Linked DNA regions of Elephas maximus indicus. The protein of the gene in region 3 purifies or fractionates together with the protein of the main gene of each other region. This does not show direct contact. Links are inferred from orthologs where the notes say so. Each region holds a gene or a part of one and is shown on either strand. Other genes may lie near its edges.

Evidence for each region.
Region 1: the proteins of POLR2J (region 3) and MED19 purify together in Homo sapiens (affinity purification with mass spectrometry; 3 studies listed by BioGRID and IntAct, with this or other methods). This does not show direct contact. The link is inferred for Elephas maximus indicus from reciprocal best matches to the Homo sapiens genes POLR2J and MED19.
Region 2: the proteins of POLR2J (region 3) and RPAP2 purify together in Homo sapiens (affinity purification with mass spectrometry; 5 studies listed by BioGRID and IntAct, with this or other methods). This does not show direct contact. The link is inferred for Elephas maximus indicus from reciprocal best matches to the Homo sapiens genes POLR2J and RPAP2.

The regions. Positions count from the first base shown.
Region 1 is NC_064825.1:119,109,930-119,113,677, reverse strand, and holds the start of MED19 (mediator of RNA polymerase II transcription subunit 19), read left to right. Parts: upstream 1-1,583; 5' UTR 1,584-1,631; coding exon 1,632-1,899; intron 1,900-3,748. Other genes in the region: TMX2 (thioredoxin-related transmembrane protein 2), read right to left, coding at 1,051-1,239. UniProt on the Homo sapiens protein: Component of the Mediator complex, a coactivator involved in the regulated transcription of nearly all RNA polymerase II-dependent genes.
Region 2 is NC_064821.1:149,946,723-149,950,470, reverse strand, and holds the start of RPAP2 (putative RNA polymerase II subunit B1 CTD phosphatase RPAP2), read left to right. Parts: upstream 1-956; 5' UTR 957-1,016; coding exon 1,017-1,089; intron 1,090-1,965; coding exon 1,966-2,011; intron 2,012-3,748.
Region 3 is NC_064830.1:93,971,724-93,975,471, reverse strand, and holds the start of POLR2J (DNA-directed RNA polymerase II subunit RPB11-a), read left to right. Parts: upstream 1-848; 5' UTR 849-937; coding exon 938-990; intron 991-2,038; coding exon 2,039-2,128; intron 2,129-3,049; coding exon 3,050-3,224; intron 3,225-3,748. UniProt on the Homo sapiens protein: Core component of RNA polymerase II (Pol II), a DNA-dependent RNA polymerase which synthesizes mRNA precursors and many functional non-coding RNAs using the four ribonucleoside triphosphates as substrates.

The DNA.
Region 1 (3,748 bases), on a different chromosome or scaffold from region 3:
CAGCAAGAGGCTTTCTATATTGCTTTCCAACGTACTTTTCACGTTCCCTTTACATGAAGCCTAACAGTTTTGTCTTTGCACTCTCAGGACCCAGCAATAGTGCCTGGTACATTGTATGTTGTTGTTGCTATTGGGTGCCATGGAGTTCAATTTCAACTCATAGTGACACCATGTGAAAGAGCAGAACTGCCCCACAAGGTTTTCTAGGCTGTAATCTTTACGGGAGCAAATCGCCAGGTCTTTCTCCCATGGATCCGCGCTCGGTGGGTTCCAAACGCCAATATGAACTCTGGAACTGTTTACAAAACTCAGAAATAACTAACAGAATATGCAGAGCCCCAGTTGCGCAGTGGTTAAGAGTAACAGCTGCTACCCAAAAGGTCAGCTGTTTGAACCCATCAGCTGCTCCTTGGAAATCCTATGGGGCAGTTCTACCCTGTCCTATCAGGTCGCTATGAGTCAGAATCGACTCGACAGCAGTGTTATTCTGTCCCATAGGGTCACTATGAGTCGGAATTGACGGCAGCTTTTTTGTTGTTGTTAAGAAACTGTGCAAGTACTATGGACAGAAGAGTGGTTTCAAGGCCAGCCACTCAGTAGTTGTATGACCTTGGACAAGTCGCCTAACCATGCTGAGACCAATTTCTACACCAATAAAACATAATAAATACTATTACTTGCCTCATCTACCCAAATAAGAGGCTTTACATCACATGCAGCAAAGAGCTTTAAAAACTGTAAAACGTTGTAAAAGTTTTGGCAGGGCAGTTAACGAATATGAATAGTGAGACGGAAAAAACCCTGGACCAGAGTCTGGGCTGCTGGGCAGGCTCTATAACTAACGGACTGTACAACTCCGAGACGTCATTCTTTCCTGTACTCCCATCTTAGACTCAATGACGGTCCGGGCCCTACGCTCTAATAGCCTATAAGTCCGTGACAGGTTCGGGACCTCAGATGTCCTCAAAAAGGTGAAGCCTGGGACTCCCAAATGTGGCCGCTGGGGCAAGGAGCTTCAAGGTCGCGGGGTCCCAGGCAGGGGTCGCTCACCCAGTCAAAGTCACACGGGTTGCCGTCTTCGCGTTGCGTGGGGAGACTGTGGCAGAGCGGCGGCAGTTTCCTCACGAGTAAGAACGAGGCGGACAGCAGGGCTGACAGGAGATAGTAAGGTCGGGCCAACCATCGTGAAAGTCGAGGCACCGAATACACCAATGCAATTAAAGGCGCCAAGACCGCCATCTTTTCGGCCCTTGCGGCGCCCGCTGCTCACCGGCGTATGCAGGTCTGGTACCCGCCCCCACACCACTTGAAGTTCCCATTGGACCAAGTCTCGGATGCACCGCCTATTGACCCGGAAATAGATGTCTATTGGATCTGCTGGTAGGTAAAAAGGGATTTGACACTTTATTGGTCAATCTACCTGCCGCTCTTTCCATTTAAGTCATGTTATTGGATATTGACTGCGGTGGGTGGAGATATCAGAGAAGAATTAATACGGTTACATAGCATTTCCCGGACGTTCGCATAAAGCGACGGAAGTAGTTGCGGGGAGAACGTAGGCGGGGCCTAGGGCATCCAGTGATAAACTGCTCCTGGAGGTGGAGGGCGTTGCCCCGTGAAGGGATTGTCCAATGAAAGTAATCAACGCCAGAAGCCGAGGCACCGTCGGGGCAGAGGGGACGATGGAGAATTTCACAGCGCTCTTTGGAGCTCAGGCTGACCCACCACCGCCTCCAGCCGCACTCAGCTTCGGTCCCGGAAAGCCTCCGCCTCCGCCTCCTCCTCCGCCGGGCGGAGGACCCGGCACGGCCCCGCCTCCTTCCGCAGCCACAGCCCCTCCTGGCGCCGATAAGTCAGCGGCTGGTTGTGGCCCTTTCTACCTAATGCGGGAACTGCCAGGTGAGTAGTAAGCCTGGCCTAAACTAGCCAATCAGATCATGGAGAGGGGATGATGGGCGTGGCTATAAGCCGGCCGGCGGAGGTGCGAGGTAACCTAGGCAACGCGTGCCACTGCACAGTTGCTCAAAGCCGGAAGGGCTCTGAGCATCGGCAACTCCTGGGATGGCATGAATTCGTGGGCTGGTGCATCTCCACGACCAACCTCCAGTCTGTATCCGGGTTCTGACCCTGACAATGGTTTATGGCTTCCTAAAAATGGTTCAGGGTTTGCGTTTGGTGCAGTACTTGGAAGTTTATTTAGAATGGTCCTTTTCGGCAGGCATTGTTATTTGCATCTTTTAGGTGAAAAAGCTGAAGCTTAAAGAATCTAATTTCCCTTTGGCTAGTTAGTAGTTGATGCCCACCAGGAGTTTCTTTAACCTTTCTTTTGCCTTACTCATTTTGAGTGTACCTTTTTATATCAGTGGACAAGTGATTGAACACCTGTTCTGTGCAAATGCTAAGTGGGGGGGGCGTGTAGTGGCAAGGGGAGAGAAATTAATAATAACTGGTCCTTGCTTATAAGAACTTATTTTGGCTGGGGATCCAAAAGATGTGATTTAAGGATAAAGTAATGTGACTGTATTTTTTGTCAAGACCAGTCTCATTACTTTGTGCTCATGCCTCTCACACAGCAAATAACAGTAACTTAGTGAACAATATTGAGAACTACATGGTGGTTTTCAAAATATGTTCCATGTTGTCCAAAATGATAGCATGAATAAGATGTGGCTTGAGGTAGACCTTGAAGAATTAATATTTGTTTGGAAAATTGGGAAGAATTTTCCTAAAAGGAAACAATATGAAAAATGGTTTTTTAAAGACGTGTTGGAGACCCATTTAGTTGGATCATAACTTTTGCATAGAGGAATAGTAATTAGTAAGGCCTTAAAGATAAATTGAAGTAAGATGAGTTTAGTCTTGAGTGCTAGTCAAAGGAATTTGAGCCTTCCTCAAGGATAGTAGGAATTGAGATTATTAAATTGAGGAGTACTACTTTCTAAAAGTATCTGGAGAATGTGAGTACCATAGATTGAAACAGAGAAGCCATGAGTGAAATTGGGAAGATTTGGAGTTTTAAAAATAAGAATTGAATCCACATGCAGTTGAATAAATGGAAGTTAGAAATGCAGGATTCATTTTCAGGAGAAAAGTAAGGGCTGGGGAGAGAGAAGTTGGGTGAACACACAGATTAAAGAAAGTACTAAAAAGAAAGTGCCACCAAGGTCACACGACAACTAAGAGCCCAAGAGACAGAAAGGGCCACATGAACCAGAGACCTACATCATCCTGAGACCAGAAGAACTCGTTGGTGCCCGGCCACAATCGATGACTGCCCTGACAGGGAGCACAACAGAGAACTCCTGAGGGAGCAGGAGATCAGTGGGATGCAGACCCCAAATTCTCATAAAAAGACCATACTTAATGGTCTGACTGAGACTAGAGGAATCCCGGTGGCCATGGTCCCCAGACCTTCCATTGGCACAGGACAGGAACCATCTCCGAAGACAACTCATCAGACGTGAAAGGGACTGGTCATTGGTTGGGGAGAGATGCTGATGAAGAGTGAGCTAATTATATCAGGTGGATACTTGAGATTGTGTTGGCATCTCTTGCCTGGAGGGGGGATGGGAGGATAGAGAGAGAGGGAAGCTGGCAAAATTGTCACGAAAGGAGAGACTGAAAGGGCTGACTCATTAGGGGGAGAGCAAGTGGGAGTACAGAGTAAGATGTATGTAAACTTATATGTGACAGACTGATTGGATTTGTAAACGTTCACTTGAAGCTTAATAAAAGTTAATAAAAAAAA
Region 2 (3,748 bases), on a different chromosome or scaffold from region 3:
ACTGTTAACAGTGGCATTACACTGCAGTATTCGGAAGCTGTTCTATTCTGTTGCATTATTAAAAAAAAAAATAATATTAGCACACACAATTTAAAAAATGGAACGTTTCAAAGCTAAAAATGTTATTACTGAAAGTTAATGTGTTAGCTTTAAGAAAATTAAAAAAAAATTTTTTTAAAAGATGTTGCTTTTCTTTCTGTTGTATTTTTAAGTTTTCTAGGAGTATTATTTTGAAAGAGGAAAAAAACTCCTCTAGAGCACTCTTAAGAGATAGGGCAAATATGAACTCTATAAAGGATTTTTTAAATAAAGTGAAATTGTCTTTTTTGAAAAAATTCCCAAAAGATGGGCCTGAAATCCAAGTTATAATCATTTAGGAATTTTTTTTTTTAATGTCCCACCTGACAAAAATTTGAGAGCAACACATTTAACTCATTCAAATGGGGTGAAACTTCAGATGCCCTCCAGCCCAAGGGTTGGCGGTGACATTGCTCTCTAAGAGTTGCAGTCGCCAAGATAATCAATTTGGTCACTGTAATCACTTTATTACTTGGAGACCAGGCCACCGGCGGTCCCCGGAAGAACCGGTCTCATCGACCATCGTTTTTCCCAGCCGGAAGGCCCGGCCCCAGCCCTGCACTACCGGCGCGGGTCTGCGGGGTCCTCACAGCGGCGCGCTGGAGGGCGGATTAAACCGCTGCGCGCGTGCTGGTGGCATCCAAGGGAAGCCATTTCTCCCGATTCCTGCTGTCCTTGGCGTTCGGCCCCCATCACCTGGCGGGCCCGGTCTGCCCGCGGCGCCGGGCCCTACGCCCTCACTACCCACCCGCGGGCCCAGCGACCCGGGCTCCCCCCGCGCGTCCACTCACCCGCCCAGCCTCCGGCCGCTCTCAGTCCCCTCCTCCACTCCGCAGGCCGCGCAGCCTACTCCCCCGGCCCCGCCCCGCCTACGTGAGAGAGGCGGGGCCTCGGGGAGAGACGCCGACGCCCGCTCTCCGCTCTGACGACGCATTTCCATGGCTGACTGGGCCGGGCAGCTGTCTCCCGGCCGCAAGGCCCGGGCTCCCGGCGCCTCCCGTAAGGCCGCAGGTAGGAACAAGGGTCTTTTGCCACGTTTGGGCCCTAATACCTGAGCTCCGGCAGAGTTCCACACCAAGGCGCGCGGGGAGCTCCCGGAAGACTGACCCAGGGGAGAGGGTCTCCTATGGGGAGACCGTAGAGCTCCCCACCCTCGCCTTTGCACCTTCTGGGCAAGATCTCCCGGGCAGACTCCGACCCTTTTACAGGAGTGTGCCAAGATTTTTCCCGTCGTGGTTTGACCCCAGCCTCAGAGGTGGGCAAGTGCCCAGGGCAGCGACGGCAAGCCGTGCGCAGCAGACTTCGGACCCCGGCCCAGTGTGCTACAGAAGTGCGGCTGCTGTGGTGCCCTGATTCTCTGAGGTGTCAATCCCGACCCTTTTCCCCCGCCAGAGGGCCAACAGGAAGGAGACAGGAAAAGGTTGCTCCAAAACTCAGATTTTCAGAAGGGCGTAAGTAAGCTGTTCTGATGTTGTTGGGTGCCCTCAAGTCGATTTCCGCCCCTTTTGACAAAATAGAACTGCCTCCATAGGGTATTCTTGGCTGTAATCTTTACGGAAGCAAATTCACCCATGGAGAGGCTGGGTGGGTTCGAACTGTCAAGGTTAACAGCCAAGCGCTTAACGGTTGTCCCACCAGGACTCCTGCAACTCTGATACATGAGAAATCAAAAGAGATAACATTTTAACCAAGAAAAATTAGGGAATAATTAATTTACAAAAGTAAGTTGGATTCTCTTCCCATTTGATTTTGGTTTACGTACAGGATTAGAAATGAAATGTGTGGAAAAGATGGCCTGCGGTTTGAGTTATTTGGACAGGAATCTGTCCTGTGCCTAATGTCTTTGTGCAGACTTGACCTACTTTTTTTTTTTTTTTTTAATCGTAGGTACCAAACACACAAGTGCCTCCAAACAAGAAGATGCTTCCAAGAGGTACGAGAACTTCTTGGAGAACTGCATTCATTTATCTATCTCATATTAATTGAACCGTTTTTTGAAACCGTAATGGGTACTACCTTAGAGAAAGTTACTGTGAGAGGGAAGGTAGAAGTCTGGGAAGCACTATAAATTCTCACAGTGACTGTTTCAAACCAAACCAGAGATTTCTAGGCTGCTAATGAGTATCTGTAGAAAGAAGTCTGTGACAATAAACATGCCTGTATTAACCTGGTACTCCTTTTCCACCTCTTCAGGTACACTCACTCATTACTGCTATGCCAGAGACTTACTGTGCAACCTTCTCATTTTGTCACTCCAAGAAGCCTTTTCTGTTCTTTGTTTACATCCATTCCAGATTTTCATCAAAAAGTTGTCTTGTACTGTCTCTTGGCTTCTCCTAAAAAAGCAAAATATTATCACCTGTCTCAGAAGGTTTCTAGAATATGCATAGCCTATGAAGAGGATTAAAATATATATCTAGAATTTCTCACTTTATGAAGGCTCACTGATCTTGTATTGGCTTTAGTCTTAATTTATTCATTCATTCAAAAATTATCTACCAAGTGTAAAATATGTCAGATCTGTGTTAGGCCCTGAGGATATGATGTTGAACAGGGTAGACCTACCATACATAGTTCTTGTTTAGTGGAATAGAGAGACACCAATTAAATTATCACAAGGTATACTTATAAATTGTATACTTACAAATTGTGAGAAGTGTTATAAAGGAAAAGGCTATGATGTTATGAGGAAGAACTAATAATGGGAGTACATTTTAGCTGGGAGCTGGAGGGGAGAGTAGCTGTGGGGTTCAGGGAAAGGCTTCTCTGAAGAAGTAATAATTACACTGAGACCTGAAGGCTAAGTAGGAGTTAACCAGACAAAGACTAGTGACGAATGACTTACAGCCAGAGGTGACAATATGTGTGAAGACCCTGAAACAAGAAAGAGGTTGGCCAGTTCAAAGAAAAGAGACATGTTATCCTTTGGTTTGCGGAAACATTGTTTGCTGTCATGTGGTTTAGGCCTTCCTCACCTGCAGAGAGTCTGTGAGGACCAAAGAGTTGAACACAAACCCTGATGTGTGTTGGGGCCAGCGAGTTTGCAAGGTTCCCCCCAGCCTAGTTCTCAAGGGCCTAGCTTTCATTGACAATGTTGTGCTGACTTACCCCGTCTGGCACAAATCATATTTGAGTAATCATCCTTAAACCCACTGCTATTGAGTCGATTCTGACTTACAGCCACCCCATAGCGTTTCCAAGACTGTAAATCTCTGCGGAAGCAGACTGCGACATCTTTCTCCCTCGGAGCTGAGGGTGGCTTTGAACTGCCTACCTTTTGATTAGCAGTCGACCACTTTAACCACTGTGCCACCAGGGCTCTCAATCATTCTTAAAAGTGAGAGAAATTAAGTCTGTAAGTTGAAATGTAAAACTACGAAAGTGGCTCAAGAGAGGAAGGAGTGGATCTATTGGTTTTTATTTAGAATTATTCTAATCTTATGCATAATTTAGGAAACGCTGGTGGCGTAGTGGTTAAGTGCTATGGCTGCAAACCAAAAGGCCGGTAGTTAGAATCCGCCAGGCGCTCCTTGGAAACTATGGGGCAGTTCTACTCTGTCCTGTAGGGTCACTACGAGTCAGAATTTATTCGACGGCAATGGGTTTGGTTTTTTTAATGGGTTTATGCATAATTTTTATGTGAATTTTTTTGGAAGGGATAGTGTTTTCA
Region 3 (3,748 bases):
GGGGCTCGACGGCTGCTGCCCTGCCGTGGACAAAGAGTGAAGCTGTTAGGACTCCAGCAGCTAATCTGAGACCTCAGAATGTTTCAAACAACTCACGCTGGGCTTTCATACTGGGCTGTAGTCTCTCAAAGTCCAACCAATCAATACAGGGTATGATACACTTATCCCACCGAACTGCTCTCTCATGCCTGTATACACCTGCCTCCTCACCCCCCCGGCCACACCCCCAACTCCCAGCCCTCACCCAACTGTCCCTGCTAACAAAGAGCTCACTAAGTCCAAACTTTGTAAGCCAGTGACAACCTAGCCTAACAAAGAGCTCACTAAGTCCAAACTTTGTAAGCCAGTGACAACCTACCAGTCTGCCCAGCCAGCCTTGACAGGGGGCTCATTCATACACAACGGTCTGGCTCAAAGGATAGATGCCCATGGGGCTCCTTCAGCTCCCCTCCCCGCCACTTGCTGCTGGCCACACCTGTCCACTACCCCATGGGCATTATTACCCCATTCTCCAAACGCCTCTTGCTGGGTACTCCAAGGACATATTTCCATACAGGGATCAAGAAGTAGGGGGAAGGGAAGGGGTTCCGGCTCGGAGGTACCCGCTTAGCCTGGACGAGGCTGTTTCAGTAATACCAGTCCCTAGGGGCCGGAACCGGAGCATTCGCCACAGCGAACCCACCTGTAAGCAGGTCAAATGTACCTTCCAGACTCACGCATGCGCACAGCGACCAGCCGGGTTCCGGCCTCACTACGCCCCCCGCCCGGCCTCCGGCAACTCTCGCGTCTGCGCAAGGTCCTCCGGTCCGGTAGGGGGCGATGAGTCGCTCCGACTCCGCGCTCGGCTTTGGCGCCGCCGACATCACCTGGAAGCAGACGCTGTGCTGGGAGAGGTTGTGTTGTGGGGCTTCGGTGGTGGCGGGACTGTGGCGTTAAGATGAACGCGCCTCCCGCCTTCGAGTCGTTCCTGCTCTTCGAGGGCGAGAAGAAGTAAGTGGAGCCGGCGCTGCGGGGCAGGGCCGGGCCGAGGTTCGCGGGCCCCTCGGCCTTCGGCTCCTGAAGATTCTGGGGCGAAGCCCGTGTCTGCCAAACTCCGGGCAGTGGGGAGGCTAGCCATTTTGCAGATGAGCAGACTGAGGCTCAGCGAGGTTGAGGGACTTTCCCTGACCCAGGAAGTGGCGGGGCCTCCAAGTCCTGCTCCTCTGGGATCTTTCTGGCAGTCCCCTCAACTCGCCTTTCCGCCTGCCACCTCCTTCTTGCTGCAGCCAGTGATGGCTCTACAGTTCATATCCGATCTGTCACTCGCCCATGTAAAACGTTCAGCGATTCCTGCAGGTTTGGGGCAAATGTAGTCTAACGGTCAAACAGCCCAGGCTTGGTTCCTGGATCCCCTGATTACCGACTCTGTATCTTTAGATAAGTGACAACCTGTCTGAGGCTCAGTTTTCTCGTCTGTAAAATGGGTTTATTGCTGTATTTACTTACAGGGTTCTCTCTTAGGGAAGGTTAAATGAAGTAATTGAAAGTGTGTAAAGTGCCTAGCCCAGAAGGCCGTCATTAAACAGTGAGTCTTCTTACCCTTAAAAATCTGGTATGCAGGACTTTCAGTGGTCTGGCCCTTACCAGCCAGCAGTAGTTCTCGACTGGGGTTCATTTTGCTCCCCAGGGGACATTTAGCAATGTCTACATTTTTTGGTTCTCACAAGGGAGGTTACTACTGGCATCTACTGCAGAGGTCAGGGGATGCTGTTGATGTCTTTTGCAACAAAGAATTATCAGGCCCAAAATGTCAGTGTTGCAAAGTGAGAAGCCCTGCTTTAGAAGAAAGAAGGAATCCAGAGAGGCAGGGGTCCTAAGAGCCAGGATGTAGCCGGAGTCTTGGTAGAGACACAATGCTGCTCTGAGTCACAGAGGTCTTTATGGGATGAACAGACCCAGGAAGGCTTCCAGGAGGAGGGACTTGAGCCTGCCTTGAAGGACAGGGTTTAAACCTGGGGAGAGCTCCTGCCCCTCATGTGCTGCCTCTGCCTCTTCCTAGGATCACCATTAACAAGGACACCAAGGTTCCCAACGCCTGCTTGTTTACCATCAACAAAGAAGACCACACACTAGGAAACATTATTAAATCGTAAGTTCCAGGTCAAGGGCTCTCAAGGACTGTATTTAACAGGGCTTTGGGCAAAGCACAAGTTCCATAAGACATTCTTCAGGTGTCTGAGAGGGAGGGACAAGAAGTCCCTCGGGGTGCTTGCCTATGCCATTGCACAATTCCAGCACCTTTTTTTCAGAATGACTCTGACCCCTATGTGTTCACAAGCCACGTGTTTATGTGGGCTCATTTGTCTGACAAAGTGAGTGTGCAGCGAGCCACAGTACTCGCCTGGAAAAGTAGGAAATGCCTACTTGTGCTTTTGTGATCGTAAGCATCGAGAAGCAGTCCCCTTACTCTTATCTGTCATGGTGACTTCAGTGGCCTGTCAACCTGGCATTCTACAATGTGTGTGGCAGAGATCATAATTTCAGTAGGACAAGGAAAAGACGTGAGAGAGGTGTTTTGTGGTTGTCTGGTACCCCTGGTGGATACCTGGTGCTCAGTGGGTGTTTGTTTACCTCAGTGATGTCCTGGCCAGGTAGTCAGGGATATGATTGGTGTTTATCACCTTGAGGGCTCTTTAGGGGCATTGCGGGGTCCCTGACTTCCCCTGAGGAAGTTTCTAGAAGCCCTGTTTCCCCAGCTAGACTCCTTGATCCTTGTGGGTGTAGGTTTGACAGTGGTGGAGGGAAGGAGGAGGTGTGTGTATGTATCCTCACATGGTATATCTTCTACAAAGCATCTGCTTTACCTGAAGATTTTTGGGAAAACTAAACTACAAATGAAGAGCAGGGGACCCCTGGGGTTGCCCCCAGAGGCATTTGTTAACAGGCCTCAGCCTAACAGATGGGCTTCTTGCTGGACAGCCTAGTGAGCTGTGAGCTGCCTGGCAGCCTTGGCCTGGCTTGGGCCAGGGCCCCAAGGGCACTTGGCATACCTCCCACCCCTGTATTTCAGACAGCTGTTGAAGGACCCACAGGTGCTGTTTGCTGGCTACAAAGTCCCCCACCCGTTGGAGCACAAGATCATCATCCGAGTGCAGACCACACCGGACTACAGCCCTCAGGAAGCCTTCACCAATGCCATCACAGACCTCATCAGCGAGCTCTCCCTGCTGGAAGAGCGCTTCCGGGTGAGGTCCTGGGGACAGACAAAGACCGGCTAGAGGCTGATGCCAGCCAGCATGCCCAGTGCTGCAGCGTTCTCAGGTCCCCTGGCGCTGTTGCTCACACCTAGGACGGCCCCTGGGTTGATTCTTCTGAACAAAGGGGTTATGGAGCTGAGGCCCGTGGCCTGCTGTCTGCACCCATAAGCGGGAACCTCACCTGATGCTCTAGGGCCTGCCTCTTTGTGCACTCTTATGGCAGCAAGTGACCTGCCGCCCTGTGAAGTTGTTTTCAAGTCTCTTTGCTTTATGAGGCCTGCTGCTTGCACAGCACTGGTCTCTCTGGGCAGCACTTCAGCCTAGGGTAGAGTCCCAAGGTTCAGGAGGCCACATGGGTGGTGGCCACAGCTGTTTATGGCAGGGGACCTCAGTCTGGGCCCAATTTATAGGGGGAAAAGATCATAGCTAGTCAGATTCTCAATGTCTAAGTCAAAAGCCCACCCAGGACACACCTGTGCTCCACCTGACTCTGACCCCGGGCAGCTGGACGT